4 linked regions of the Alligator mississippiensis genome follow. The protein of the gene in region 1 purifies or fractionates together with the protein of each later gene. This does not show direct contact. Links are inferred from orthologs where the notes say so. Each region holds a gene or a part of one and is shown in the gene's direction. Other genes may lie near its edges.

Region 1 (6,848 bases):
CTCTGACCTGGTCTCTCTCCACGGCCACGGCAGTGCCATGCTCGTGGAAAGCCTCCCTGAGGGCCTGGACTACCCATCTGGCAGCCCTCGGCCCCTTGCCGTGCACCAGGCCTGGATGGACCTACTGGGCGGCGCCAACACTAGCGTGGACATTGCTGCCTTCTACCTCACCCTGCGGGACTTGGACACGTCTAAGACGGAGACCTCTGCTTGGCAGGTCAGGCTCGGGGCAGGGGGAGGGGACAGGACACTGCTGGGGGGTGGAGGGGCAGCGGTGCTGACCCTGACCTACTCCTGGTGCTCCCTGCAGGGCAGGGAGGTGTTTGAGCGGCTATGGGACCTGCCAGCCCGCGGGGTGCAGCTGAATGTGGCTGTGAACAGCCCCCAGGAGTCGAATGCTGACACCCAGGACCTGGCCAGCAAAGGTAGCTGCTGCTCAGGGGCTAGGAGGGAACCAGAACCCTGCTCCAGCCTGGCTGGAGCTGCCTGAGCCCCCGGTAGGCTGGGGGCTGAGAGCAGGGGGGCTTCCAGCCCCCTGACGTCCATCTCGCCTCCCTTTCCCCCCCAAGGGGCTAACGTGAGCTCTGTGGAGATGAAGCGGTTGACGGGCGGGGTGCTGCACTCCAAGTTCTGGGTGGTGGATGACAAGCATGTCTATGTCGGGAGCGCCAACATGGACTGGCGCTCGCTCACGCAGGTACCGTGGGGGCACACGGGCAGGTGCACATGCACGTGCTGGCAGTGAGCTGGCCAGGGGCACATGGGAAGATGGGGAGGGGGCTGTAGCCAGGTGCTGGGGGCTAGATGCTGGGATGGGGCAGGGGCTGCGGGTGCAGGGCTCAGGGCCCAGGCCCAGGAAGCCACATGCTCACCCCCACCTCACCTTCCCGCCCGCAGGTGAAGGAGCTGGGCGCTGTACTCTACAACTGCAGTTGTGTGGCCAGTGACCTGGGCCGCATCTTCGGCACCTACCGGGCACTGGGAGGGCCAGGCACCCCCCTGCCTGCGGCCTGGCCCTCTGAGTTGGCTGCCCTGTCCAGCCTCCGCCGGCCCCTGAAATTGCAGCTCAATGGTGTCCCCACACAGCTGTTCCTCTCCGTGAGTGCCTGGGGGGTGTGGGAGGAGGGGCAAGGGGAGCTGCGCCCAGGCGACCTCGCTGCGCCGGCTCTGAGACTGTCTGTGCCCAACCCCAGAGCGCCCCACCGGCCCTGTGCTCTGCTGGCCGCACCCCTGACCTCGAGGCCATCCTGGAGACCATCGCGGATGCCCAGGCTTTCATCCATGTTGCCGTGATGGACTTTGTGCCCCAGTGCACCTTCTGCACTCCCAAGAGGTAGCCGCGGACTAGACCGGCACGGGCTGGGGGAAGTCTAGGAGCAGTGATGCCTGTGATCTCCAGGCCTTGGGGTTTTGCTGGCTGCCACATGGGGCTGGGAGGGAATTTTCCCCTTGCATCAAGATTTCTCCCTCTTTGCAGTGGTGCTTGGTGTCAGCCGCAGCCCAGGCTGGGGGCAGTGGCTGGGTTGTGCCAATGCTTCTGCTGGGACTCAACCCAGAGTGTCCTGGCTGGAGGGTCGTGCCCCCTGCTCAGGGTCAAACTGATGCTGCACAGGGGGCAGGAAGAAGTTTTCCTCTGGTCAGATTAGTACAGACCAGGGTGCGGGGTGGGCGTTGTCTTCCTCAGCAGTGGGTGCCCTGGGGTCTCTGGGGCATATTTAACGCCCCTCCCACAGGAGCAGGGTGCTGGCAGACAGACCCCTGGTTTCCCTTTGGGCAGGCTCGGGTGGTTGGGTTGGAGGTGATTGCATTGTTGTGCCCATAGGTGAGTTCGCAGGGGCTGGCTTGCGTGGGGCAGGGGTTTGGGGCTGGATGCGACTCCCAGAGGTCTCTGCCTCTCCCCGTGACCAGCGCCGGCTGCCCGCAGGTTCTGGCCAGTGCTGGATGAGGCGCTGCGGGAGGCAGCCTGCGGCCGGGGGGTGCGCGTGCGGCTCCTGGCCAGCTGCTGGCCTCACTCTGACCGCGCCATGTTCCCCTTCCTGGAGTCGCTGCTCATCCTGCACCGGGAGCCCCTGGGCTGCCCCATCGAGGTGGTGAGTCCTGGAGCTGCAGGAGAGGATCCCAGCCCAGGGAGGGGCAGGGGTCACTTCAGAGCTGGGGGGGAGGTTGGGGTAGGGGGTGACACTACCGCTCCCTCCACCTCTGCTGCAGAAACTCTTCGTTGTCCCGGCCACGGAGCAGCAGAAGCAAATCCCCTTCGCCCGTGTCAACCACAACAAGTACATGGTCACCGACCGCGTGGCCTACATCGGTAAGCCCGGGCACCAGTGCTGGGAGGGGGCTGGAGGCGTAGACACCTGGCTTCTCCCCAGCCCTGGGAGGGAAGTGGGCGTGGGGGCTTGGAGCAGGGAGGAGCTGGGAGCCCGGACCCCTGGCTTCCACCTTTTTCTGGGGACCTCTCTGGTGAGCTGAGCCCTCCCCTGCCCAATCCCAAGCAGCACTGGTGTTTATCACTGGTTTCCCCCCCTCCCCGTAGGCACCTCGAACTGGTCGGAGGATTACTTCATCAACACCGCAGGCGTGGGCCTGGTTGTGAATCAGAGCACCGAGGAGCCGGGGACACCCGGGCCTTCCCTGCGGGAGCAGCTGGCCGCTGTGTTCAACCGGGACTGGGAATCTCCCTACACGGAGCCGCTCAGCCTCAAGCCCCGCTGTGCTGCCAGGCACTGAGGGCAGCTCCCGCTGAGGGTGGGGGAAAGCCTGGGACCCCACCCTCCTCCCCTGGACTGCTTTGGACAGCTGGGGATACCAGGTGGCTCCCACCCCCCACCTGGGGGGGCTGGGACCCTATTAGCCAAAGAAGGGGCAGCAGTAGCTGCCTAGTGCCAGGCACCCCATGGCTGCAGCTATGGCCAGGGGGTCTCTGCACTGGAATCTCAGGGTCTGATGCCCTCTCCCTGCCTGGGGGGGGCGAGGGGTCTTGGGAGGGTTGTGCTCAGGGCAGCAGCAGGGGCAATGGGCATTGTTTGGGGGGTAGGTCATGGGCTGGGGCAGGAAGAATCGGGGCTAATCAGGAGCAGGGCCTTGTGGCGGGAAGGCGGGACGGGGTGGGCAGGGGGCTGCTTTGCTGGATTGCATGGCATTGTGGGGGCACGGCGCCTCTGCCAGTTTGCACTGAGCCCGGCTGGGGGGCTGTGGCCCAGGTTTGGGGGGGGGGGGGCATACTGATGTGGGCCAAGGGGGTTCAAAGCTAGGCTGAGTGGCTAGCCCTGGGGGTGGCCTGCGTGGGGATGGGGGGGCAGGGGGCTTTGTACACAGGGGCTGTGCCTTGGGGGTGCAAGGGGACGCAGCCCTCCCCAGGGGCCAAACGCGGGGCCAGAGGTGGGGGGGTCGGTGGCTCTGAGCAGCTCCTATGTGGCTGGGGGAGGGGGGGGCTGCACCCTGCAGGGGGTTGCAGTGGGTTTGGGGGGCTTTGCAGCTGGGCCATTGCGGGGGGAGGAGTGGGAGTGGGGGGGGCCTGTGCATTGCAGTTGTCACTTTCCAGAGTTTATTTTTGTAACCAGAGCGACAATAAAGCAAATTCTGATGCCACTGGGCCTGTCAATCACCGCATACGCCCCACCCCTCGCGCTATCAATCACCGCCCCGGGCCCCGCCCCTGCCCCTGCCGGGGGCTCCGCAGCGCCCCCTTGTGCCTGCCGCGCGCAGGCGCCGTTGGGTGCCTCTGGTGTCATGGCGGCCGCGCAGCCAGCCTGCCTCTGCCCCGAGTGCGCATGCGCTGCAGCTCGCTGTCCCTCGGCTGAGCGCATGCGCAATTAGTTCCCGTGGGGGTTCTGTTACGGGCCGAGGGGGCGGGGCTCCCGCGGGGCTGCGGCCAATCGGGGGCAAGCGCGGTGTTGCGGGTTCTTTCCGGTCCGGAGACGTCGGGACTCAGGAGGATGTTTTACCACGTGAGTGGCGGAACCCCCCCCCCCCCCCATGCCCCCGGGGCTGGGACACTGCGGACCCCGCCCCAGGGAGACCCCCAGCGCAACCAGGCTTCCCGGCATGCACTGCTGCCCAGCCTTGAGAAGGGGGTTTACCTGGGGGGGTGGACAGCGGGAGGGTGACAGTCCTGGGGGGAGGAAGGAGGGCTGATGGGGGGAGGGAGGGGGGTTGACAGGGCAGTCCTGGGGGGGGTGATGGGGGGGCAGTCCTGGGGAAGGAGGGGAGTGGGTGGGGGCAGGGGGGCCTGTCCCAGCCCCTGTGACAGTCTGTGACCACCCCATGTCCTGCCCCAACAGATCTCCCTGGAGCACGAGATCCTGCTGCACCCGCGCTACTTCGGGCCCAACCTGCTCAACACGGTGAAGCAGAAGCTCTTCACCGAGGTGGAGGGCACCTGCACGGGCAAGTGAGTGGGGGGCCAGGCCAGGCTGGGTTGGGGGAGAACAGGGAGCTGGGACACGTGGATGGAGGGGATCCCACCATGATCTAATGTCCTAACGAGACTGGTGTTGTCCCTCCCCGCCCCGTTCCCTCCCTGGCAGGTACGGCTTCGTCATCGCCGTCACCACCATCGACAACATCGGGGCAGGCGTCATCCAGCCGGGCCGCGGCTTCGTGCTCTACCCCGTCAAGTACAAGGCCATCGTCTTCCGGCCCTTTAAAGGCGAGGTGGTGGATGCGGTGGTGACCCAGGTCAACAAGGTGAGGGGCGGCGGGGCACAGGAAAGCCTCTGGTGTAAGCCCTGGTGCGGAGGAGGGCTGCAGCCCTGCACCATCTGTCTTGGGATGCGGGGGGCTGTAGAAGCTGCTGGAGGCTGGGGCGTGCTGCCTCTGTCCCCCAGGACTAGAGTGACCAGATGTCCCATTTTTGGCTGGGACAGTGCCAGATTCTGCAGGCTGGTCCTGGCTGGCTGGGCAGAAGTCCTGAGCGGCGAGGCCGAGCAGCTTGGTGCGCCAGGCGGGCGGGTGGACACCTGCTGCAGTGCAGGAGCAAGGCGGGCGGACGTACGGCCACCCTAAGATACCACATCCGAGACCCCTACGTTCCTTGCTCCCGCGTTGCCCAAACCCAGGACTGTCACCGTGGCCCTCACAGCTTTGCTGCCTCCTCTTCCCGCAGGTTGGGCTCTTCACTGAGATCGGGCCCATGTCTTGCTTCATCTCCCGCCATGTAAGCACTGCCTGGGGAGGGGGCTGGGGGCTGCCTCTGGTCTGGGAGGCTCAGGTGAGACCTGGGAGCCCACCACAGCTGACTGTCCTTCTCTCCATAGTCCATCCCCTCTGAGATGGAGTTCGACCCCAATTCCAACCCCCCCTGCTATAAAACGGTGGACGAGGTGAGCTGGGGCTGACGGTGCTCCCTGGGGGCACCTGGCAGCATTGGGGGGCACTGGGGAGGCTGGGGTAGAAACTCAGGTAGGGGCTAGGGGGTGCCCCAGAGCAGGGCAAGGGGCAGGAGGGTGGCTGTTTTCCAGTACATGAGATTCCTTGGGACAAGGAAGGCCGGGACGGGGCATGTCTGCTTTAGGCTCTGCTACTGTCCTGTTGAGTGGCCTGGGCCCTGTCACTTTCCCCTCGCATGTGCCTCACTTTATTCATCTGTAAAACCATCCAGCCTCCTTCAAAAAACTTCTGAAACCAGAAAAGAGAGGGACAAGCTGGTTGCAAATGGCATCTTAGTGATGAGAGGCATTCATGTCATTGAAGCCCTTCTCCCCTGTGGAGGAGATGGCAGGGGCTGCCGTGGTGTGGGGGGAGGGGGAAGCAGGGTGCAGAAATGAGTCTCGCCTGGGCTCCACGTGTCTGCAGGACATCGTGATCCAGCAGGACGACGAGATCCGGCTGAAAATTGTGGGAACCCGAGTGGACAAGAATGACATCGTGAGTCCTGCCTGCTTCTTTCTGTGGGGCTGGAGCCGGGTTCCCAGCTACCCCATTCCTAGCAGAGGGGCTGTGGGCCTGGAGCAGCTGGGTGGGAAGGAGTTGTGGGGCTGTCCCAGTGCCAGCGGGGTGGGAGCATGGGGGCTCCAGTCCCAGGCTGCGGGAGGGGGCGGGGGGCATACGCGGTGCTCACACCTGTGTCCTGCTTTGCAGTTTGCCATCGGCTCCCTCATGGACGACTATCTGGGTGAGTCTCGTCTCTGGCTCCAGGCCTGCCCCTATCCCTGCGTACCTGCACAGACTGGTGCTCCTGACAGTTGGTGCCCGCGGGTCGGGCTCTGCTCACCGAGGGGCTGCAGTCTTTCTCAGGTGGGGGCTCCTGGGCGATGGTGCTCCAGGGTCTCCTACATCCACCCTTCTCTCTCCATGTCTCCTTCAGGTCTCGTGAGCTGATGCACAAGCCCGTTCCTCTGGTTGTGTCCCTGGGCTCCAGCTGGGATGAGCCTTGCCTCTGCCCCCCTGCACTGCTTGCCCTATTTATGGGGGTCCGGCGTGGGCCTGCCCAGGCCTGGGGGCCGGGTCCACACCTGCCTGTTCTTCCTCCCAATAAAAGCTGCTTTTCATACACCGCTGTGGTGTGTCTGCTGTTCCCCACTCCCTCCCGTGACCCGAAGCTGCTTCGTGGGAGTGGGAGGGTGTAGGGGGGCAGAGGGGGGCTGCCTGGGGCTGGGCTGTGCTGAAGCACCCGCCCCCGTAGAGCCAGGACTCTGCTGTGCTAGGTGCTGTACAGGCACAGGGTGGGAGTTTGGGGAGAGCTGCAGTAGGATGGAGGGGTGTTGGGGAATGAGCCTGGGATAAGGGGGTGCAGTGACCCTGCAACCCTGGCCAGCCCCATTGGGACCCCAGGGCGGTCTGGGAGGACTGGGACCTCCCTGAAAACAGCACCCCGCCCCCCAGCTGACAGCAGTGGGGGGGTGGGGTTT
Region 2 (7,741 bases), on another chromosome or scaffold:
CTCCCCTGCCCGTGCCCCTCTCCCCTCCGCCCACCATTCACAGTGGCTGCCCCCTCACGCCCTGCCTGCCCCTGGCCCCGCGCCTCGCCTTACTACATGGGGGGCGCTCTGGGGACCGGGTCCCGGGCTGGACACGCTCCGACCCCGCAGCACGAGGCTGGAGGAGCCGGGAGCTGCCCCGGGCCCGCGTCCCCACCCCGGGCCGAGGCCGCCCTGGGCTCGGCCCGCGCGGCGTCCCCAGGCCTCGAGGCGGCCCCTAGGCCCAGGCCCCGAGCGGCTGCGGACGCCGAGGAGCCGGCCCCTTCCCCCGGCCCGGCCGCGCCCGCCTCGCGCCCCTTTGTCTGCCCCGCGCCCGGGACCGCCCCCCCTCCGCTCACTTCCCAAAGCGAAACGGCACCGCTTCCAAGGGGGTAGCCACCAACTCTCGCGACGGCTCGCGTCCTCTCGCGGGAGGGAAGCCCTTCTCCGCCGGCCAAACCTCGCGAGATTTCCCCGACGCTTCTCCCTCCTCCTTCAGGCCCCGACGGAAACCTCGCGAGAGCACGCCGCGAGGCCCTTCAACAAAACTTTATTGAGCCCCGTCGTAACGCGGCACATGGGGGGGAGGGGGACGAACCAACAGACCAACCCCCGCGCTTGTCAGCGTTGCCTTTCCAACAAAACTTTATTGGGAGGAAAGTGAGCGGACAAAGCACCACAGGTGCCCCCCCCTTCAACAAAACTTTACTGACACGTTCCTGAAGACAAATACCCCCCCTCCCCCCACATGCACAAAGTACATGCTTAGGGAGATGAACATAACACAGGTGGTTGTGTTCATTTATGTTCATGTGTGTACATATATACATATACACATATATGTAGGTACATATATACATGTAGACATGTGTATGCATACACCTATTCACATAACTCCCCAAGAAAGCCAAAGGGCCTTGCAAATAGTAGCCATAAAAGGCTGCATTAAACACACACTAAGTACAAAACCTAGCTGTCTACTTATACAGGGGGATTGGGATCACTGCTCCCTGGTCCCAGCTTAACTTCTTGCCCCTTTCTGGAGTTGGAAATAAAATCCAAGAGTTCTGGCTTCCAGTCCCCACCTTTATACTTTAAATCCTATTCCCTGCTCAGAGCTGGAACCAGAAACCAAGACTCCTGATTTTAATAGCTCTTCCTTGCTGCATCCACTTGTCTCTAAGAACCGAAAAGAGGACACCAGCGCCCTGACCCCCAGAGTTCTATCACCCCTAGCTTTCCTCACAGCTGGAAACAGAATCATATGATCCAGAACCCTCATTCTATAGCCCTAACCCTCCAGAGAAAAATCAAGTATTTATTTTTATTGTTGTTGTTACTACTACTTGGACAATCATGTCCAGCAGTTTTTGGAAACAGGGACTGCAGTTCCTTGGTGCTTTTTGAAAAATGGGTCCTGAGGCTAGCCAAAAAGTGAAGCAGATCACATCAGTGGAGACTTCTGGAAATGTCCCTTAGCCATTCCTCAGGTAAATTATCATTGGCTCCTTGTGACATGTTACCCAACAATAGAACAGAAAGTAAAAGGATCTGGTGTATAGTGGGTGGTATAATATAATGTCATTATATGCCAGCCTTAAACACTCCAAAGCAAATATGAAAAGGAAAAGAGCAACAAAAATTGCTTTTTCCTCCCTCTGAGAATAAATACCCTCCCCCCAAGCTTTTTCTACATGGAAAAACTGTGAATATTCCTATTTTAAAACTTCCATGCTTGTTCCTTGAAGTATTGAGGCTTTCAATATAACAACAGCATGATACAGGAATGACTCAAACAGCATATCCATTTAGGTTTGAAACTGTCACTATAGAATGTAGATTTATTTTTATGAGGGTCACATCACTTGAAGGCAAGTTCCAGAAAGCTCTAAAATTGCAGGTTTTAATTGGTGTCTGTTCTATTTGCATGTGTGTATTTACAGCTTCCATTTTGTCACATCGACATTTTGAGCTCTCTCGCTATAATAATGGTGGGTCTGTGTTCCATTACAAACCCTGTTGTCTATATTCACTAGGCCATACAAATTCTCTTTAGGCTGACACTCAGCATATGAAATCTCATCAGTTTTGTTTTTAAGTTAAAGGGTGACAAAAGTACAACTATTTTGTGGATTTACAGATGCTCCTCCCTTCTCTTCCTGAGGCTGCAGTTAACTCAGTAGCGATGGTCCTTCCACATCTCCACGATTTTTAAGATGAAAGACAGGCCATCAAATTACACTCTCAAATTCCCACATAATTCCCAATATCTTTGGATTTATTTTGCTATTGTAGAAAGACATCCAAGCTTGCTTTCAAGACTTGAAGTTCAGATGAATCCACCACTTTCCTCAGCAAATACTGGATCCTATTATTCTTTGGTCTCCTTGTCTGTCTAATTATCTGGTTAATGGAACACTGTTCTCGACTGGAACTAGAACTGGGCACCAGCCTGCAGATGAATAGCTTGTTTTAGTTAAAGTAACAGACTCTAATAACCTCTGGAAAGGAGGAAGAGGTTAATCTCCAGTTTCTATTAATTTCAAAGTAACTATTGTATAAAGCAGTAGTTATTGTAAATCCTAGGTAGCAATTTCTTTTTAACAAAGTAGCACATGACTACAATTTTATCATATAGTCTCAGTGGAATTTAAAACAATTAATTTGTATTCACTACCTCATAAAGATGTAGATACCTTGTATACTTGGCCACTGAAGGAGATGAAATGTCTTACTCAGGAAACAGGAAGAACTCCTACCCCACTCAAACAGGTCACCTCATCTGGTGGTCAAAGAACAGAACATCTTCAGCTGTGGTGTGTTAAGAGGAAGCCATAAGGTGGGCTGGCCCTTTTCAAAGAAAGGCTGGGTTTGTCTCTGACATTAGTATTTTGTCATTCTACAAAGGTGAACCTGATGGTTTTTTTCAGGTTTTGTGGAAGGGAATTGACAATATCAATTTTTCTGTCCATAGTGATGAGCTAGAAATGTAAATTTGGATCTTGATAGTGGGAAAACTGAAATTACGTGCTAAAAGAAAGCAGAAAGAAGAGCTCTAAGTGGAATGCTGCTAATCTTGGTTCCCCCCCCCCCTTCTCTCTCTCTCTTCCTCCCCTCCTCCCCACCCCCCTTTGCAGTGCTTCTATCTTTGGGTGTTGTGCAATTTACTGTTTGTAAAAAACGTTTTTCTCTGGTGAAAAAGAAATGCAAAGTATGTTAATAGTATTGTACTCTGTACTGAACTTGAATGAATAAAGTGGAGGTATGGGAGAAGGGGAAAAAGTCCTTCTAAAGAGATGGGAGGTAAAAGTATTTAATGCATTTAGAAAGCTGTTATGGTTTGCCCCATTACACTTGATTTTAAGATTAAAGTAATATCTTTAACACTTTGTTTGATAGTACCTAGACCAAGTTAAGGGCTCATTGGATGTATGTTTAGACTTAAAGCACAGTGTTTATGGTACTGTTTTATCAACCGCTGTCAGCTTCCAGTTATGTGCTGGGTATGTTCCTTTTGTATTACATCAGTGGTGTTCAACCTCTGGTCCAAAGGTCACACCTGGCCCACAGCCATGTCACCTGGCCTGTGGGACTCCCCACAGGCACAGAAATTTGGTGATAAGGAAGTGATAGCAAAGCTAAGTGTTCCTAGAGCTGTAGTGTTTAACACTACTGCCAGTGTGGAGCCTCACAGGTCAGATGATGTGGCCCTGTGCAGAAGGAGGCTGGGACCGTAGCAACATTGGCATGTATGCTAAAGCAGCATTTATCTGATCTCAGACTTAAAAGGAGTGCTCAGAAGCAGTACAGGGATGTAGGTTGTAGCCGTGTTGGTCTAAGAACATAGGCAGACAAGGTTCCTTGGGTGAATCTGATATCTTTTATTAGACCAACCCAAATAGTTGGAAAATAATAATTAGGCAAGCTTTCGGGTTCAAAAACCCTTCGTCAGGCTAAGGAAGTTTCAGCAGTTGCTGTGTGCTCTTCCTGGATGGAATGAAAAGTAAAAAAGCCAGGGGCTGGGCTGGTATGCATACAAGACAGGTAGTCAGTGAAAATATAGATTGAGGAGTCAATGAGTGAGAAGAAGCAGTACAGTAAGTCTACTGCCTGCCATCTCAGCACAGTGAGATAAGTGAAAAGTCTGCTAGCCACCTTCCTGGAACAGCTGAGATTTACAAATAGTCCAAAAAAAAAAAAAAGTAACACAGTGGGAACATTGCTGTACAAAGCAAGGATTTCTTATGGAGATACCTTTTATTGGACCAGCTGTACAGGCGGAGTGGAGTTAGATGCACTCTCTGAAGAAGAAAGTATTGCCTAACTCCATCCTATCCACCCAACTGGTCCAATTAAAGGTATCGCCCTAAGAAATCTGTGCCTCTAGCCTGGCTTCTGGCCCATCGCGGCTCCACCATCGCTCCTGCCCGACTCGGTATTTGAAATATTTAGTTCTCCTCCCCGTGTAATTACTGTTACATCTCCGTAGCTCTTTCGAACTGCAAAGAAGTCTCAGGGGCAGCTACTATCAAGTAGAGGCTTCGGCCCCGCAGCCGAGCGCAAAAGCCCAAATGCCTAGAGTGGGGAAGGGAAGTTGTACAGAAGCCGAGCTGGTGCTCCAGATCCCGCGAGATGTCGGCGCAAGCATGCTCCGCTCGCTGCTCTCTTGCGAGATTTCCAGGCTCTCGCGAGAATGCGGAAGTGTCGCGCAGTTTGGAGATTAGCTATGGCCGTTGGGATGGCGGCAGCGGCCGCGGACTGAGGCTTCTCCCGTGCGGGGGGGGGGCCTGGCCGCGGGGAGCCGCTCGACGCGAGTAGGCACCTGCGGCCTGCCCCGGGGCCCGCCCCTCCTCCCTTCCCCATCGCCGTCCTGCGCCCGCCTGCAGGATGAAGGCGGCTCAGGGGGGCGCTGAGGGTGAGTGCCTGGGGCCAGAGCGAGGCTGCGCCCCCAGCCCCTCGCTCAGAACGAGGCTGCCCGCGGGGGCGGGGGAGGGGGCGCTGCCGGGGCGGGGACAGGGAGATGCTCATCTCCAGGGCAGGCGGCAGCCCACACATCCTTTTCCCTGGAAAGCCAGCAGTCCCTACCCTCAAGTCCCCAGGGGGATGAAGGACCATTTCCCCCCTCCCAGTAGGTTTCAGGGCAGCATCCATCTGTCCTCAGGAGCATGTCAGGGACCCGTAGCGCACGGGTTGGTGCCCTGTATGAAGCCACGGCTGAGCTGCCCAGGAGGCGACCGGAAGACAGGGTTGTGCTCTTTTACCTGCAGCCAGAATCGGGCACTGCTGCCCGTGCTAGTCCAAACCCCTTGGTAGGGAGCGCTTGCTGGTAGCTAAGGGGCTTCTGGCATGTGCTGCTGCACCCGGATGGGAGAGGAGTGTATGTGCCAAGGACGGGATGTTTCACCTGGAGCTGAGCAGCCTCGTGGTTTACAGAATATGAAGGTGCCCAAAACTGTGTTGGTGCAGGTGACCGTGTGGTGTGTAAGCCAGAACAGCTGCCTTGGGTTGAGATGGACCTTCATGTTGTGTGACTTGCAGCCTTATTGGCTGCACCTCTGTGAAAGGTGATGACAGCTGCCATTTGCCCCAACTTAGGCAAGTTGAGCAGATCCATTTAGTTGCTATCATGATGTCAGCACAGCTTTTAGTAGGGCAGAGTTTGGGAACCTGTTCTGTGCAGTAAGGGAAATGGTTTCTAGAGCTTAGAGTTCTTCCCTATATATAATTTGCCCCTGTATACATCAAATGGGCATGGATTCATTCTGAGGGTTTCAGTTCTGCTGTGTTAATTGGTTCAAAAAAAATTTTTTTAATGTGTATCAGAAACAATCCACGAACATATTAAACACACAAATATAAGGCATGTCTAAATCCACCTCTTCTGCAAAACTAATAATCATCATGCTTTCAATGTAAATTAAAAAGAAGAACTAAAATTAATAGCTAGTCTGACAGACAGGTTACTTTTCTTTTTTTTGGTGACATCTGGTGCCAGCTGCTAAGCAGGGATAGTTGACTTCCTCAGTTTCTGAAGGAAATAAAAGACTATACTCTGGCTGAAATTCTGCTTCTGTTGATGTCAAATGCAGAACTTCTACTGCATCCCAGTGGACCCAGGATGTCATCCATTATCTGGAAATTTGTACCAGCCATTTTAAAGAACTGTTTTCTGCATGTGGACCTGCAGATGCATTCAATATTAAGTTTATGGCATAATACAATTCCCAAACTGAGTTTTGAAATGCCCCTAACATATTTACACAAATAGGAACTTGTGCCATTAAAGTTTTAATCCTAGGTTTACCTTGAACTGGACACCTCAGTTGAAGTTGCCAAAACAAACGGGGATGACTTTGCTTAAACTCCAGGGTCTAGCTTTAGAGAAGCCTGCTCCATATCTAGTGAAAGGGACACCACTTAAAACTATTTTTAGACAAGTGTTATCCCCAATTTTTACAAATATCACAGAAGATACTCATAACTAGAGAGTAAGGAAAACTATTTTCTCTGTTGTTTCAGCTTGTTTACTTCATGCATTTGATAATACCCTTTGTATAGTCAATGACAGTGTTTCCACTGCATCATCAGTTTCTCTGTAGTTTATAAGCTTCTTTTCCATTGCAGTACTGAAGACCAAAGCACTTTTAACACACAGTAAAAAAGCGCTGTAACCCCCCACCAAATAACAGAGAAATTGAGATGCATAAAACTTGTTTCTTAAGTTTTAAAGTTGATGGAATACCATGAAACCCTGTTTGCTGGGAAGTGAAACTGAAGTTGCTAGTTGTTTCATTGTGTTGCAGTATGCAGATTGCTATCCAGATTCAAGGACACCTCTGTATCCTGCAGGCACCCACCCACAGAAGATGCCAACCCATGGGTCTCTAGTATGAGTAAGATCAGAACTCCTTTAAGTCATAGAAGTCCCAGCTCTCTGCAGCATTGGTAGTTGTTGGCCTGTGTTGCATTCCAGCTGTCACTGCCTCAGTCAGGTCCTTCATTTTAAGTGGGTTCCAGCTGGAGTCTTTATAGGCTGGTGATTCACCCTTCACTGCGTGTTACGAAGGTATTCTTAAAAACAATTTAGAGCAAAAATGTGAGTATAATGGCTCTCAGATTTGGGTCCACAGCTTCTTTTCAGGTGGTCAGTCCACAAATGAAAAAGTTCGAAACATAGAGTGTGATTAGGGTTTTGGGAGTAAGGAGGAGTCTGTGGAAGTATTTTTGCCTTATAAAGTTCTCAGCAGAACTCAGAGTTGAAAAACAAACTGCATATGCATGTTCAGTGCTATGAAAACCAGGAGATTTAACCACTCCTCTTCAAAGATCTGTTGCTACTTCAGGTCTTTCCCATGAGCCTTCAGCAGGTCTTAAAAGTGTGTGTGTATAATCAGTAAAAAGATTTTTCAAAGTTGTGGTTTACCCTAACATTGAGATGGAATGGCGGATCTTTTAGATGAAGGGGGGGTTTGTGTCTGTAAAAGTTTTGTGTTGTTTGAATTAACATTAAATTGCAGCAGGTCCTGAATGAGATGTCTTCTGTAATTTGTCCCATAGAAGCAGAGAAGCTGAACAAGATGAGTTCTCTCTTGGAAAGACTTCATGCAAAGTTTAACCAGAACAGACCTTGGACTGAAACTGTGAAGCTTGTCCGTCAAGTCATGGTGAGAGTTTTCGAGAGATTGGTGATATTACATAGTCTTTTTATGATTCATACTTTGTT
Region 3 (7,359 bases), on another chromosome or scaffold:
GGACCTCAAGAGGTCATCTAGTCTAACTCCCTGCTCAAAGCAGGACCATCCCCAACTAGATCAAAGCTTTGTCTAGCTGAGTTTTGAAAACCTGCAAGGATGGAGCTTCCACCAGCTCTCTGGGTAACCTGTTCCAGTGTTTTTCTTCCTAATATCTAACCTAAACTTCCCTTGCTGCTGCTTGTTCTGTCATCTGCCACCACTGAAAACAGTCTAGTTTCATCCTTGTTCGAATCCTCATCCAGGCAGTTGAAGGCTGCTATTAAGTCCCCTCTCAGTCTCCTCTTCTCTAAACTAAATAAGCCCAATTCCCCGAGTCTTTTCTCATAAGTCATGTCCCCCAGCCCCCTCATTTTTGTTGCCCTCCACTGGACTCTCTTCAATTTGTTCACATCCTTTCTTTAGTGGGGGGGCACAAAACTGAACACAGTACTCCAGATGTGGCCTTACCAGTGCTGAATAGAGGGCAATAATCACTTCCCTTGACCTACTGGCAACACTCCTACCAATGCAGCCCAGTATGCTGTTAGCCTTCCTGGCAACAAGGGCACACTGCCGGCTCATATTCAGCTTATTCTCACTGTAACCCCCAGGTCCTTTTCTGCAGAGCTGCTGCCCAGGCAGTCAGATGCCAGCCTGTAGTGGTGCATGGGATGGTTCTGTCCTAAGTGCAGGACTTTGCACTTGTCCTTGTTGAACCTCATGAGATTCCTTTAGGTCCAATCCTCCAATTTGTCTAGGTCACTGAATCCTAGCCCTACCCTCCAGAGTATCGACTACTCCCCCCCAGCTTGGTGTCACCTGCAAACTTGCAGAGGGTACACTCTATGCCATCTTTCAAGTTGCTGATGAAGACACTGAAGAAAAAAAAAAAAGCCCCAGGACCAACCCCTGGGGCACTCCACTTGATACCAGCTGCCAACTAGACATTGAGCCATTGATTACTACTCTCTGAGCCCGATGCTCCAGCCAGTTTTCTATCCACCTTACAGTCCATTCATCCAGCCCATACTTCCTTAGCTTGCCTGTGAAAATGTTGTGGAAAACCGTATCAAAAGCCTTGCTAAAATCAAGGTACACCACATGCACCAGTCTCCCTGCATCCACAGAGCCTGTCAGCTTATCACAGAAGGCAAACAGGTTGGTCAGGCATGACTTCGCCCTTTGTGAATCCATGCTGACTGTTCCTAATTACCTATTTCTCCTCCAAGTGCTTAGAAATGGATTCCGAGGATCTGCTCCATGATTTTTCCAGGGACTGAGGTGAGGTTGAATGTTCTGCAGTTCTTTGGATCTTCCTTTTTCCCTTTCTTAAATATGGGCACTATGTTTGCCCTTCTCCAATCATCTGAGACCTCTCCTGATCACCTTGAGTTTTCAAAGACGATGGCCAATGGCTCTGCAATCACATCAGCCAACTCCCTCAGCACCCTCAGGTGCATCCCATTCAGCCCCATGGACTTGTACACATCCAGGTTTTCTAAGTAGTCCCTAACTGGCTCTTTCACCACTGAAGGCTGCTCACCTCCTCCCCAGACTGTGCTGCCCAATGCAGTAGTCTGGGAGCTGACCTTGCCTGTGAAGACTAAGGCAAAAAAGGCATTGAGCACTTCAGCCTTTTCTGCATCCTCTATCACAAGGCTGCCTCCCCCATTTAGTAAGGGACCCATACTCTCCCTGATCCTCCTCTTGCTACCAACAGATGTGTAGAAACCCTTCTTGTTACCCTTCACATCCCTTACTGGTTGCAACTCCAATTGTGCTTTGGCCTTCCTGACTTCATCCCTGCATGCCCAAGCAATGTTCTTATATTCTTCCCTAGTTATCTGTTCAAGTTTCTACTTCTTATGAGCTTCCTCTAAATTATAAATAATAAAAAATAAATTCACCTTATTTTTTTCATTTTGAATTACTTCTAATAACTGGGCGGCATACCCTTCTTCTAAACACTTCTGGCCTGCTACTTGAAAAAGATTAAAATCTTCTGCTCTGAAATTTTCTTCTTCCAGAATTTGCTAAAACGAAAAGCATACATTTAGCTTTATATGAATCAGAAACAACAAACCCAAATTTGAGTTGAATTATAAACTGAATTAGAACTTCTTAATTTTATTTTAACTTATCTGTGATTCATTATTTCAACTCTAAAAAGTTATCCACATCTACTAGGGAAAACAGCAGATTCTGGGGCCTGGCCACACTCCCTTCCTTTTTCTCCTCTTCCCTCCCTCTCTCCCCCCCAGCCCCTCCCTTCTCTGCAGGGCTGGGCTGGGGCCCCTTCCCTCCACCAGGTTGCGTTGGGGCCAGTCTGGCCCTGCTCCCCTCCCCACAGCCAGATGGTGCCCACTGGCCCACCAAGGTACTGAATCAAGAACACTGGCTGGATCCAATATGCAGAGGTACTGGGCACTGCCAGTCCAGCCCTCCAGGCAAAAGGTTGGGCACAACTGTTCTAGGACAGTAACCAGGGAGAAAATGGAGATAGGAAGCTAAACGTGACTACCCTGTGTGACAGCAAAGGGTGTTGCTATAAGCTACCCTACCTTTCTTTTCTTTTTTTAAACATAACATGCATTTAGATGGAGTCAGTGCTTGTTTCTATAACCTCTCATGTAGTTTTACAAAAAGTAAACTACTTACGCATCTTTGAACAATTGCTTGAAGTTCATCAATTGCCATGATACCTTCGCTTTGCTGTTGTGACAACAGTTCTGTCATAAATTTAAGAGTGCAGTATTGATATGCATATAGTAAAAACATGCTGAATTAAAGATGGAGACTGAAACTTACCTATTCTTACTAAAATATGATAACATGAAAAAATGAGAAAAATGAATGCAAGTCTAAAAATAAGTCAGAAAATAAGTCTAAATAATTACACAAGAAAAAACAATAAAGGAAAAAGGAATGTAAAAATTGATTAGAAGTCATTTAATTCTACCTCCTCTGCATACAGGTATTGCTATTGCTTGTTTATTGGAGGCAGGAAATAGCATTGATACTGTATGAGGATCAGTATATTTCTTGTATTTGTCAAACAAAAAGTGAAGTAATTTGATGCAACTGAATCAAATATGTAATAGTTTCAAGATCAAACGTGTAGAAATCAGCTTGAGGGGACAGATTTTGCAGGGGAGAAAACTGCAAGGATGAGAGTAGGAATGCACGGCTGCTGCAGAAAACCACCATCATGTACTCTAGAGTCTAGTTAATCACCATGCTCTAGGACTGGAGTTCGGGATCAGTATGTGTTATTGCACATGTTACATGCTAAACAGCTAGTATGATATAGTTTGCCTTTTTTTTTTTTTTCTTCTTCTTTCAAGCATGTGGACCAGTGATTCTTACCCAGGGTCCCACAGCACTGTGGGGTAACCTGAGATCCTTTCAAGGGTGATGCAGGATGCCACACAATGTTAGCACTATCAGATTTGTAAAAATGATTCACAAGATAAACCCAGAGATTTCAAATAGAAATGCACAGCTGTGGCCTTTCTGAGCTCTTTGCAACAGAAAAGTTAGCGTAGACTTTTTTTTCTACAAAGTTTCACCATGCTGGTGTTAACTTTTATTTGAGACTTGCTTTCCTTAAAACTACTCTTAAATTTGAAATCTGTCTGATACAACAAGCTACTTCAACTGCCTTTCACCTCCAGACACTAGTTATTGTTCAGATCCACTGAAGTCAATGAAACTCCCCCGCCGGCATGGCACGACACGACGCACTTGTGTGTGAAGCCTTTGCACGAGGGGGGGACCCCAGGTTACAGTAAAACGGAATTTTATGATTTCATCCTCAAGCCAAAGGCACATTTATTTGTAAGAAAAAGAGGCCTGAAGATTTCGTGCACCTCCAAACGGTAGGCGCCAGCGCACTATCCTCATTCCTTCACTAACCCAACAGGATTATTTAGATAATAACTACGTTAACTGGCGGCTGAAGAAGAGGAACATTTAATCTCCCACGCAAGCTCGAATCAGCTACAACGCATTAACTACAACAACTCGTTTTTCATCCTACCAAGCGCTGCCGCCCGCCCGCCCGCCCCCTCCCAGCCCCGGGGCCGGCCGCCGTGGGCGCTTTTCCGCCCCGCGACCGTGTGCGCGCTCGGCAGGGCCGCCGGGAGGCCCAGGCCACCGCGGGTCTCAGGCCTCCGTGCTTCAGCCGGTTTCTACAGCTGCCGGCCTCACTCCGGGTGTCCGCCCCGGCGCCGAGAGCGGCCACAGCCAGATCCCCCACCACGGCCGAAACCCGGCGCTTAAGGTAGCGCCCAGCACGCCCCCGACCGCGCTCCTACCTCCCGCGCGGCCGCCGTCCCCGGGCCAGGCTCCGCCTCCCGGACAGGCCGAGAGGCGGGGCTAGGCGGGCGCCGTGATGGCGGCGCGGGAGAAGCTGCGGGTCAGGTCGGGCCGGAGGCGCCCAGGTAGGGATCCCAGCTCCCCCCCGCCGGGTGCGGTGGACTCGCCCTTCTTCTCCAGCCCCGCGCGGGGGGACAGAGCCATCCCGGGAGGGGGGGCGAGCACGAGCGTTACGTGCGGGGCACCCCTGGGGCGCCAGCGCTGAGCCTCGTGCTGGCCGCCTCGGCCGGCGGGCCGTGGGACCCCTGTGCTCAGCCTCCCCCATGTCCTGCCCCGTCGGCTGCGTCCCGGGGGAGGACCGGGGCAGGCGCGTGCTTGGTTGCAAACGCAGACTGGGCTTTGCAGGTTGCCCCCTCCTGGCTTTCTACTATACGTGTCGGTGGTTCTGCTGGGGCCAATGCCAGGGGTTCCTGGCTGGGGTCTTGCCCTCTGCTCAGGGTCAGATTTGGGGTGAGGAAGGAACTTTACCCTGTGGTCAAATTGATAGGGACGGGGGAGGATTGCCTTCCTCTGCAGCAGGGGCATAGCCCTCCTTCCCCAGGACCTCTTGAGTAGATATTACTAATCTTTTAGAGAAGCAGGATGTTGGCTGCGTGGTTCCCATGCTTTCCCTGCGCCAAGTAAGGGTAGGGCTGACAGCAGATTTATGAAGAGTTGACATCATGAATTTGTATAGGATGGTTTGGATAGGGATGATCCTGTCTCAGGCAGGGGGTCAGGTTAGCTGGCCTCTGGAGGTCCCTTCCAGCCCTACTTCTCTGTGATTTCCCATGTTGGGAGGGCCCAGATAGTTTGGATTTGTGTTCAAGGTACATAAATGACATGTCTTGCCTCTGTCCTGTCATCTGCAAAATTTGGGCCTTACCAGTCTGTTTTTTCTTGCACCTGAATATTGATTTTGTAATTGTTGAGTTGACACCTTCAGCCTCCAAAAGTGCAAGTATCTTGATTGTGCTTTCCTCTTCTGCATTTGCAAATCCTTTTTCCTTATGATCTAGTATTTCAGTGCTTTCAGTATTTCTAGTGAAAAAGTATGAGCCTCAAGGTAAGAAAACATACACTAATTTATATATTTTATTACTAGGAAGTAAGCAATCAAGTGCTTTGAAAAATGAAGATGCAGCACAAAGGTATACTATGTAAATTATATGACATAGTAATGAAGTATAGGTTGTAGTTGTGTTGGTCTAAGGATATAGGTAGGCAAGGGTCTTTGGGTAAATCTGATGTCTTTTTATTAGACCAACTCAGATAGTTGGAAAAATTCTTCTTTGCAAGCTTTTGGGCACAAACACCCTTTGTGTGGCTGCAGAAGTATCTGCAGTTGGTGTGCATTCTTCCTGGATGGAATGAATAGTAAAGAAGCCAGAGGCTTCAGTAGGAGTCAGTGGGTGAGAAATGTGGGGGGCACAGAGGGAAAGAGCTGTCTCTCACCCATTGACTCCTGTTTACCTTGTCACTGAGCCTTTCTTACATGCACACCGGCCTCTGGCTTCTTTACTATTCATTCCATCCTGGAAGAGCGCACACCATCTGCAGATGCTTCTACAGCCTGAGGAAAGGTGTTTGTGCCCGAAAGCTTGCAAGGAAGAATTTTTTCCAAATATTTGAGTTGGTCTAATAAAAGATATCAGATTTACTCAAAGAACCTTGTCTGTCTATGACATAGTAATCACATTTCTTTGCATTATTTTGGAGTTCCCACTTCTTTGCATACATTTAGCAAATAGGCTAGCAACTATGCTATTCAGTGTTGTAAAATGTTTTAAATAACCCTGCAAATGTGGAGACAGGGCACTTTAAGACATGTTAGGCAAAAATGGTATCAACTATACCCCCAAACTATGTTAAAGGAAAGTTGAGGTTGCCAAGTCAAGTAGCTGGGAAATGATAGAACTGAAATTGTCTGTGCAACATTAATTCTGCCCCCTTGTGTGTGTCGATACATTTTTTAATCTTGTGGTTGCATTCTGTTTTCCACAGGATCTCTGCTTTTTCACTGCATAGGCTGAACATCATTCATATATGTATGTGTATGTCAGGAACACACACACAAGGATGTTTCAAAGGCTATAATTTCAAAGTAAAACTATTTTGTGTGCAGTGATCATTTATTGGGCCACATCACTTCTCTATATAGTTGCCTCGCTTGGCAACACAGGTATTCCAGTGTGTCACAGCTTTCTTGATACTATCCTCAAAAATGCTTTTTGGTTACTATGCCAGTCACTTCTGCACCACAAGTTGCACCTCTGCATCACTGGAGAATCTGTGTTCACGAAGAGCCTCCTTCAATGGTTCAAACACGTGATGATAACTTCGTGCAAGATTGGGACTGTAGGGTGGCTGTGATAAGATTCCAAAGCCTAGTTCGTGCAAAGTCTCAACGGTCAACTGTGTCTTGTGTAATCTCACATTGTGCTGGAAAACACTTTAGTTACGCTTTCACATGTGGTCCAAATAGCTGGCTTCAGGTGGTTTTAGAGGAAGTGGTAGTAGGTGTTACTATTGATTGTAACCTCATGCTCCATTAAGTGGACAAGAAGTCCCATGCAATCCCAGACCAGGATGAGCAAAACCTTTGCAGAGGATAATTGAGTGCAGAATTTTTTGGGTGGTGGCAACAATGTGTATTTCTATTGCATGCTGTCTTTTGCTCTCAGAATTGTAATGCTGGACCCAGGTCATGTCCCTGGTGACAGTGCATGAAAGGAGCCCTTCATCCTGTACATGCTACAGAAGCTGGGTATACACTTCCACACGTTGTCATTTATGCACACCTGTCAGTTGCTTTGTTGCCCACAGAGACACTTTCTGGTAATTCAGGGGATCAGGCAAAATGGCGTGGATACTGCTAGCACTTAAGCCTACTTCCACAACTAGTTCAAGAATGCTCACTTGCCTATTCATATGACAGCAGCATCAACCTGGGTGGTGGTGTCCTCCATTCTGGCTGTGTTGGGGCATCTGGCTCAGGTTTGAACTTCTCCATCCACTCAT
Region 4 (6,996 bases), on another chromosome or scaffold:
CTCTTGCCTGCCGGGATGGTGACGGGGAGCCGCTGGTCACGGGTCTGGCCGGTGCGCCGGCTTGCCCTCGCGCTCGCGTCGCCGAGCCCCTCCCTACCTGCGTTCTTCTCTCGCTTCTTTTTCTCGGTGGTCTTTCCCCTGGAAGGCGAGGACGGCGTTGAGTCAGCGCCGGGAGCGCGTCAGGCGCCGGCGTGGGGGTGCCCCGCGATTCAAGTAAACGCTTCTCCTCTCCTCTTGCTTTCCAGGGGACAACGTCCGGGAATTCCTGCTGAGTCTCAGATACTTCCGAATCTTCATTGCGCTCTGGAACATCTTTATGATGTTCTGCATGATTGTGTAAGTAGAACTGCTGCACGTGTTGCTTTAAAGGGGCAAAGCTACTTACCTTTGTCACCCGGTGAGACTTTTCCTAGTGTATTTGTAGTTAAAACACCCAAAACCTGAGCCAGGCCAGCCCCGTTGCGCAGTTGTAGCCAGCTGTCACCTGCTTCGTCTGTGTTTCATCCACTAGGTTGTTTGGCTCTTGAACGGCATGGAAGCGTGTACCGGGCGCAGGTGTTCTGTTGTGGCTGGGAAGAGGCTTTCGGCTGGAAACGTGACCGCTTAAAGTAAAATGTTGCAATGTTTTCAAAATACCAGTGTGGAATTCTGTGTTTTCTTTCTTTCATGAGAGTACCTAGATGTTACAGGGACAGGACACGCTCGTGCTTTTCAGCAAATTGTGAAAGGACGTGGTTATAAGAACAACATAGCATACTGTCAAGGGGCGGAGGGGCACTTTCATGGCTAGGTAGACCCAAACTGACCCTCCTGGACACTCGCCTCACCTAGATGTTACTGACTCTTTGGACTCTTCATGTCTCAGAACAGGGTCCCATCAACTCTGAACTAAGAAAAAACACCTTGGACCACACGCGCACTTCTTGCTTGCCGGCCTGCATGCTCGTTGTCTCAAGTAGTCTGGGCCGCCGCCTTGATTCTCAAAGCACAGCTCTGCAAACGGCACTGGTGGCCAACAGCATGATGCCTGCTCGCTATCTAGTATTATAATATTGTTTGCCTTTTTTTTTAGATTTTTTCTTCACTCATTTGAAACTCCTGGTCTTTTCCTGCCTTTGATTTCAGTCTGCCAGTATATAACATGGTGTATATATGCAGCATTTAAAGAGACATTTCTCTTGACCAAAAGACAAATTTTGACATTTATAAAAGGCTGTTTTCTTTTTTTAAGTGAAGCAAGCTGTTACAGTGCAACTTAATAGTTAGACCAGCCATTTGCTGCTTAGTTTTCTTTTGGCCGCAGCAATGACCTCAACATTTGGGTGCTTGGGGGGCTACCTAATGAAGAAATAACTGCAGAGGAGAAAAATACTGTTTGTTACATCAAAGACCATAGTTGTCTGTAAACTGTTCCAAAGACACTACCTGCAGACTTTTTGAACATGAAGTTAGTAGTCCAGGGGCCACCAGAATCAAGTAGTCTTCTAAAGTTGGTAACACACATCCTTATATTTGAAATGAGGAAGAACGCGTGCTCTGTGCTGTTCCATTTACTATAAAAGGGGCCTGGAGGCTCAGGAGACGTTCCAAGAAACTTGTGGGTCAAAAAAGAGAATTCATCATCAACAGAGGTAACAAATACTTAAACCAACTTCTAAGTGTTCTGATGACGTAACAGATTGAAAAGAAATAAAAAAATACATGTTTTCAATCTTTTTTTTTCCCTTGCATTTTCTTTTGGCTTTCCACGTTGTTTGGTAATAAAGTACTCAAGTAAACATTTGGTTTAAATTTGAAGAGTGGTGTTTGTCAGCCTGCTTTTGAGCTGTTATTGCACTGTTTTGATACCAGTTCTATTGTTCATGTTTCTTTTTGTGAAAAAGTGATAAATGTAATTGAGGACTTATAGAGACTGCAATTTAAATATCAGTTAATTAGATGGCAACTAGTTTTATCAAGTGGTGCGCAAAATGCCAAAGCGCATCCTCAGCTTCATACATCTAAAACAGTCAATACATGTAATGCAATCAAGCTTCTTCAATCAGTGTTGATGATTGAGTGTAATTGAATCTTTGGACCAGTGCTAGAGCCTTCAAGAAAAACAGCTCAGCTATGGCAGGGAACGTGTAACTAAGCAGTAAGAACACGTTTATCTGAGGGTTAAAGCGGGTGCTGTCTTGTTCCTACTCTGAGCACGAGTCAGCTTCATCCTAGAAGAACTTTGTTTGCGGTAGACTGTCCTGTAATTATGACTGGCTTCCCCTAGCATTTATTTTTATTAAGTTGATATTGGTGTGCCTCAGCCAGCAACTTTGACTATGGGCTGACAAAATAAATAGGGAAGGAAAGGGGTGGAGGGTGTGGGTGTGGGGGAAACATTACCTGACCCCACTTCTATGTTTCTTTTTTTTAAGCAAGCATCTTCAGTCACGGGCTCTCCTCTGTGAGCAGCTCATTGCCCGCTAGGCACTTTAGCTCCTGGACTGGAGAGGGATTTAATGGATTGTACCTCCAGTTCAGTCAAGCGTCCAGTTCTAGGCAGGAGCAAGCATGCAGCCGCTGCACAAGCGCTGTGTGCTCACAGCCGTTCAGGTCTGCGAAGAGATGCTGTCCCGTATTACCTGAAATGCTGATGTCGCTTGGGAGGGTCGTTGTAAGCCAAAGGCACAGCATAATCTACCTGGGAGGATTGATGGGAAAAGATCTTTGTAGAAATGCTAGGCTAACTCTGAGCCCCGCCTTGTCTATTATCTACTTTGATCTCTCTTGTGCTGTATTTTATCCCTTTCCCCATGCTTTCTGTTGATACTGTTTACCCTTTATTTCTGTATTTAATCGTTTTCTAAAACAAGATGTAAGTAAGGATTTGAGTATTCACTTCCACATGCCTAGAAATGCCCCTCCTCCAAGGGGAGAGTTCTTGTACTCTGGGGGGGGGGGGTTACTGCGGGAAGGGAAGGCAAGGCAAGGCAAGGTCCCGGCAGCGGGAGGAGCCAGGGCAGTGCCACGGCGTAGCTCTCTGCATTCGCCCTCTGTAAAGATGTGGAATAAGCTGCTTCAACCCCACTTGCTCAGTCACTCCCCCGCGGGGGTGACGGGTGCGTCCGGGCCCGGCGCCCCGCATCCGACGCGAGCGGTGCCAACCCGGGGGAGCCGTGCCCCGGTGCAGACGGAGCGTGGCTCAGGCCGGACGCGGAGTCGGGGCCAGGACGACGGCGGGATCCGGCCGCGCGTGGGCAGAGCTCGGCGGCTGCGCCAAGCCGAAGGCAGGGTCGAGTTGCACCTTGCAGACCGACTGCAGCGGAGGCGCGCTGCTCGGGGCCCAAGGGCTGAGCGGCCGCTAGTTGTGAAGCGGGTCGCTGCTTTTCCCGGCCGTGCCGCAGAGGGGGCGCGAGCTGCCAGGGAGCAGCATCGCCTCGCAGGGGCGGCCAGGCCGGCCTCGGGCCACGCACCAAGGCGCCCGCTCAGGCGCAGCGCCGGGCCGGGCTCGAGCGGGCCGCAGCGGACGCACGGGACCGGCCTCGGCCTGGGCCCGGGCCCGGGCCCGGAGGCAGCAGCAGCGGCACCCGGCGCTCGAGGCAGCGGACGTGCTCCCCCGCGGGGCGCTGACGGCGGAGAGCTGATGCGGCGCCCGAGCCGGGCGGGCAGCGCGGAGCAGGCCCCGCCCCGCCCCGCCCCGCCCCGCCTCAGGAGCGCCGCGCCGCGTCGTGTGCGCGGGGGGCGGGGCGGGGCGGGGCGAGACGAGGCGAGGGGTGGCCCCGCCCCCGCGGGGGGGCCACAACTGAGCCCAGGGCGCCCCGCCCCCCCGCGCACGCACTGGCTCCACCCCGTCCCCCGCGCAGGCGCAGTGGCTCGCCGGGCGCGCGGCCGCTTTGCCCGCCGCCGCGGGAGCGCAACGTCACAGGCGCGCCGTGCGTAAGGGCGTCGGGCGTGGGGTGTGTCCCATGGTGCCCTGCGCGGGGCTGGCTCCTGCCCACAGTTGAGTTCGGCCCCGAGCGGCGCGGACGCCCCGGCCCGGCCCGGCCCCGCCCGCCCCGCCGACCCCGCGCGGCCTGGCCCGGCCCGCGCCCCGCGCCCGCCCGGCGGCGGCGAGCATGCGGCTCCGGCTCCGGCTCGCCGAGGAGGCCGCCGCCGGCGAGTGAGGAGCCGCCGCCCCGGCCCGGTCCGGCCCGGCCCGGCCCGTCGCCCCCGCCCCGGCCGCGCCGCCCGCTTCGCCCAGGCAATGACAGCGGCTCCGGCGCCCTCCCCGCAGCAGATCAGGGACCGGCTGCTGCAGGCCATCGACCCGCAGAGCAACGTGAGTGCGGGCCGCGCGCCGGCCCCGGCCCGGAAGCGCCTGCCCGGGCGCCGGCCCGTGCTCCGGCTCCGCCCGGGTCCCGCCGGGCCCCCGCGCCGCCCCGCCCCGCCCGCGCCCCCGCCGGCTGCACGGGGAGGCGGCAGCCGTGGCCGGCCATGCGGCGCCGGGCCGGGCTGCGCGCCCTACGCGAGGCCGAGGCTCCGGCGCGGCCTGCGGCGGCTCCGAGCCGGGCTCGAGCGGGGAAGCGGCGCGGCCCGGGCATGCCCCGGCCTCGCTCGGGCGGAGCTGCGCCCTGCGGAGCCGGGGAGGCGGGCAGATGGGGGCTGAGGGGTGCTGCGCTCGTCCCGGGGGAGAGGAGAGCAGCCCTGGTCTCTGCTTGGTCTTTATCCTTTCTGCAGGGCGCTAAGAGGCTTATCGCCCGGTGTGAGGATGTGGTATTAGCGTAGCGAAGCCGGCGTGTTTTACGTGTAACTGGATTTAACTGAAAACTACTTCTTGGGTTTCTGCCCCAAGTAACTCGAGGGCTTTAAGCGCTGCCGTCCGTCTCTGCCACAGGCGCGCTCCTGCTCCCGCGCGCGGCAGCCCTCCTGCTCAGCTCGCCAGCCGGGACGCCGCTCGGGGGGTTGCGAACGAGGGCGCAGCTCAGGACCTCCGTCGTAGGTGGTTTCCGACGGCCCGCGCGCGGTGGGGGCGTTGGGACGGGCAGGCTTGAGCCCTGCCTGCCGCAGGGCACGTGAGGCTGGCACTTCAGTCTTGCCAGGGTCGTGAGTGCTGGGCCCTTGAAGACCGCAAACGCGTATTGCCGTAGCAAAGGCTAATGGCGTCTTCGGGGCTCTCCGCTACGCACGTGTCATTCTGCCGCGTGAAAGCTGGAGAAAAATCGGCCCGATACCTGTGGTTCTCGAGTGCAATGTTATACACCTCTCATCTTACATGAACTGCAATAAAATAACTCTAACATGCCTGAATTTCCGATGGGTTAAAAAAACCCAAAGAAACCCTGTGTACGCAGGGTTTACCCTTGCGTCTCACCTAATTGTCAGTTGGTGTAGATGTTGAACATAAAATACCTGCAGCACGGTTTTCATAAGGGAGAAAGTTCAGTTTAGAAGTTAGTACTACCTCAAAACCCTGGATCTCGGTGTAAATTATGAGCACCTTTAGAGTGGCATCGGAGGACTGGGGAAGGGCTTTTTGTGCCCAAACGCTTGTCTAACATCCCTTCCAACAATGTAGGTTTAATAAGAGATATTACAATGAAGCTTGCTTTTCTCTGGACTGTATGAACCTAAGAAGTGCAGCAGTTTCTCTAACTGTTGGAGCTAATTGGTGCTCATAATCAGAAAATCCTGGCAAAGAAAAGCTTTCTAACAAAGCATAGGTTTTGAAGGATTAATTTGCTAGGAGTTGTTTAATCACAATAAAAATGAGTAGCGGTCATTCGCATTCATGTTCTTGTGTATCAAATCAGTCTGACCCCAAGGCCTAACTTTAATTGAATGATTCAGCTGTGCCGGAATAATTTGGGGGGTTGCAGGGAGGAGGACTGTCCTAATTGGCAGATATCCCACTGAAAGGTGAGCTATACCAGAAAAAAATTCCCTTGCCTGTGGAGCAGTTTTGTGTGGGGAGCTGCTAGTATGAACTATCCTGGGAAAATAACTTTCCTGGGTTATAGGCTGTACCCCCATTTAGAAGGATTTGCTGATATATAGATACCAGCAAACTCACTCCAGTGTAGACATGACTAGAGTCATGGCTTTAAGGACTTCTCTGTGCATATTCTTCTTTTTTTTAACCTGTTATCCTAGCTGGACACACATGTGCATGCATGCCTGTGCACTTATCTGAAAGTCTGGTGGGGGACTTCAGCTTTTACACTTTTGCTTCGCTCGTTATACTCACTAGGTTGGGAACAAGGTGTTTCATTTACATACACGTTTAGTTTAACACTGAAACCTGTTCCACCAGTCCCAGAGAAGTATACTGAGATCTAAATGTTGTGTATAAATATATATACATTTCCCCCTGTTTCCCACCCACCCCAGGATGCATATAAGAAATAGATTATACAGACGAGCATTGGCTCATCCAGGGGCCTTCCCACTACATCAAGTTCTCCATTCCTTTTAATTAGGCTCATTTTACTAAAAATGCTGTAAGGACTCTAGTCAAATAGCGGGTGTCAACATTCATTTAACTGAAATGTTTGTAGATCAGCTACTGTGATTGGTACATAGGGGACAGAAAAGTAGGTGGGATCTTTTCCATTCTGGTTGTAACGTGTTGTAGAAGTGTCTGCAACTTGTATGTTGTGTGAAATGTTATAGAGAAGAGGTTCCCCACTGTTGCCCTCTGTTACTAAAAGTAGCGATATTTTTCTTTAGCGCAGGATGCACTGAGAAACCAGACATCCACTGAGCCGAATCCCTTACCCTTCTCTTCCCCACCTGTTTTTATAATGCTGTGTTTCATGTTTTTCTGAGGTTGGGTAGTGATATCCATGAAAACAGATTTATTAATCCTTGATTGGCAAACATTTATTGTAAATCTAAGGTTTAAGTTCCCTGTTCTTCAGCTACATAGGGGTCAAGTCCATAATAAACTTGCTAGTTTCTGGTGGGTAAATATATATTGCCATTTCTCCTTGAGTTTAAACATGGAAGATAAGTAAGGCAGGAGGTATGAACTTGGGGATT

Evidence for each region.
Region 2: the proteins of POLR2G (region 1) and MED1 purify together in Homo sapiens (affinity purification with mass spectrometry; 3 studies listed by BioGRID and IntAct, with this or other methods). This does not show direct contact. The link is inferred for Alligator mississippiensis from reciprocal best matches to the Homo sapiens genes POLR2G and MED1.
Region 3: the proteins of POLR2G (region 1) and RPAP2 purify together in Homo sapiens (affinity purification with mass spectrometry; 5 studies listed by BioGRID and IntAct, counting the BioPlex papers as one, with this or other methods). This does not show direct contact. The link is inferred for Alligator mississippiensis from reciprocal best matches to the Homo sapiens genes POLR2G and RPAP2.
Region 4: the proteins of POLR2G (region 1) and MED26 purify together in Homo sapiens (affinity purification with mass spectrometry; 6 studies listed by BioGRID and IntAct, counting the BioPlex papers as one, with this or other methods). This does not show direct contact. The link is inferred for Alligator mississippiensis from reciprocal best matches to the Homo sapiens genes POLR2G and MED26.

Annotation. Positions count from the first base shown.
Region 1 is NC_081838.1:3,128,955-3,135,802, reverse strand, and holds POLR2G (DNA-directed RNA polymerase II subunit RPB7), read left to right. Parts: upstream 1-3,841; 5' UTR 3,842-3,935; coding exon 3,936-3,947; intron 3,948-4,280; coding exon 4,281-4,390; intron 4,391-4,526; coding exon 4,527-4,686; intron 4,687-5,104; coding exon 5,105-5,155; intron 5,156-5,255; coding exon 5,256-5,321; intron 5,322-5,793; coding exon 5,794-5,865; intron 5,866-6,078; coding exon 6,079-6,112; intron 6,113-6,304; coding exon 6,305-6,318; 3' UTR 6,319-6,490; downstream 6,491-6,848. Other genes in the region: 5'-3' exonuclease PLD3, read left to right, coding at 34-217, 311-425, 570-697, 898-1,098, 1,194-1,333, 1,925-2,090, 2,209-2,308, 2,534-2,727. UniProt on the Homo sapiens protein: Core component of RNA polymerase II (Pol II), a DNA-dependent RNA polymerase which synthesizes mRNA precursors and many functional non-coding RNAs using the four ribonucleoside triphosphates as substrates.
Region 2 is NC_081827.1:165,686,086-165,693,826, forward strand, and holds the start of MED1 (mediator of RNA polymerase II transcription subunit 1), read left to right. Parts: upstream 1-4,736; 5' UTR 4,737-4,905; coding exon 4,906-4,933; intron 4,934-7,575; coding exon 7,576-7,682; intron 7,683-7,741. UniProt on the Homo sapiens protein: Component of the Mediator complex, a coactivator involved in the regulated transcription of nearly all RNA polymerase II-dependent genes.
Region 3 is NC_081828.1:32,973,841-32,981,199, forward strand, and holds the start of RPAP2 (putative RNA polymerase II subunit B1 CTD phosphatase RPAP2), read left to right. Parts: upstream 1-4,354; 5' UTR 4,355-4,375; coding exon 4,376-4,424; intron 4,425-5,443; coding exon 5,444-5,489; intron 5,490-7,359. Other genes in the region: GLMN (glomulin), read right to left, coding at 1,890-2,015, 2,641-2,760.
Region 4 is NC_081839.1:407,105-414,100, reverse strand, and holds the start of MED26 (mediator of RNA polymerase II transcription subunit 26), read left to right. Parts: upstream 1-3,995; 5' UTR 3,996-4,222; coding exon 4,223-4,297; intron 4,298-6,996. Other genes in the region: SMIM7 (small integral membrane protein 7), read left to right, coding at 246-336, 512-527. UniProt on the Homo sapiens protein: Component of the Mediator complex, a coactivator involved in the regulated transcription of nearly all RNA polymerase II-dependent genes.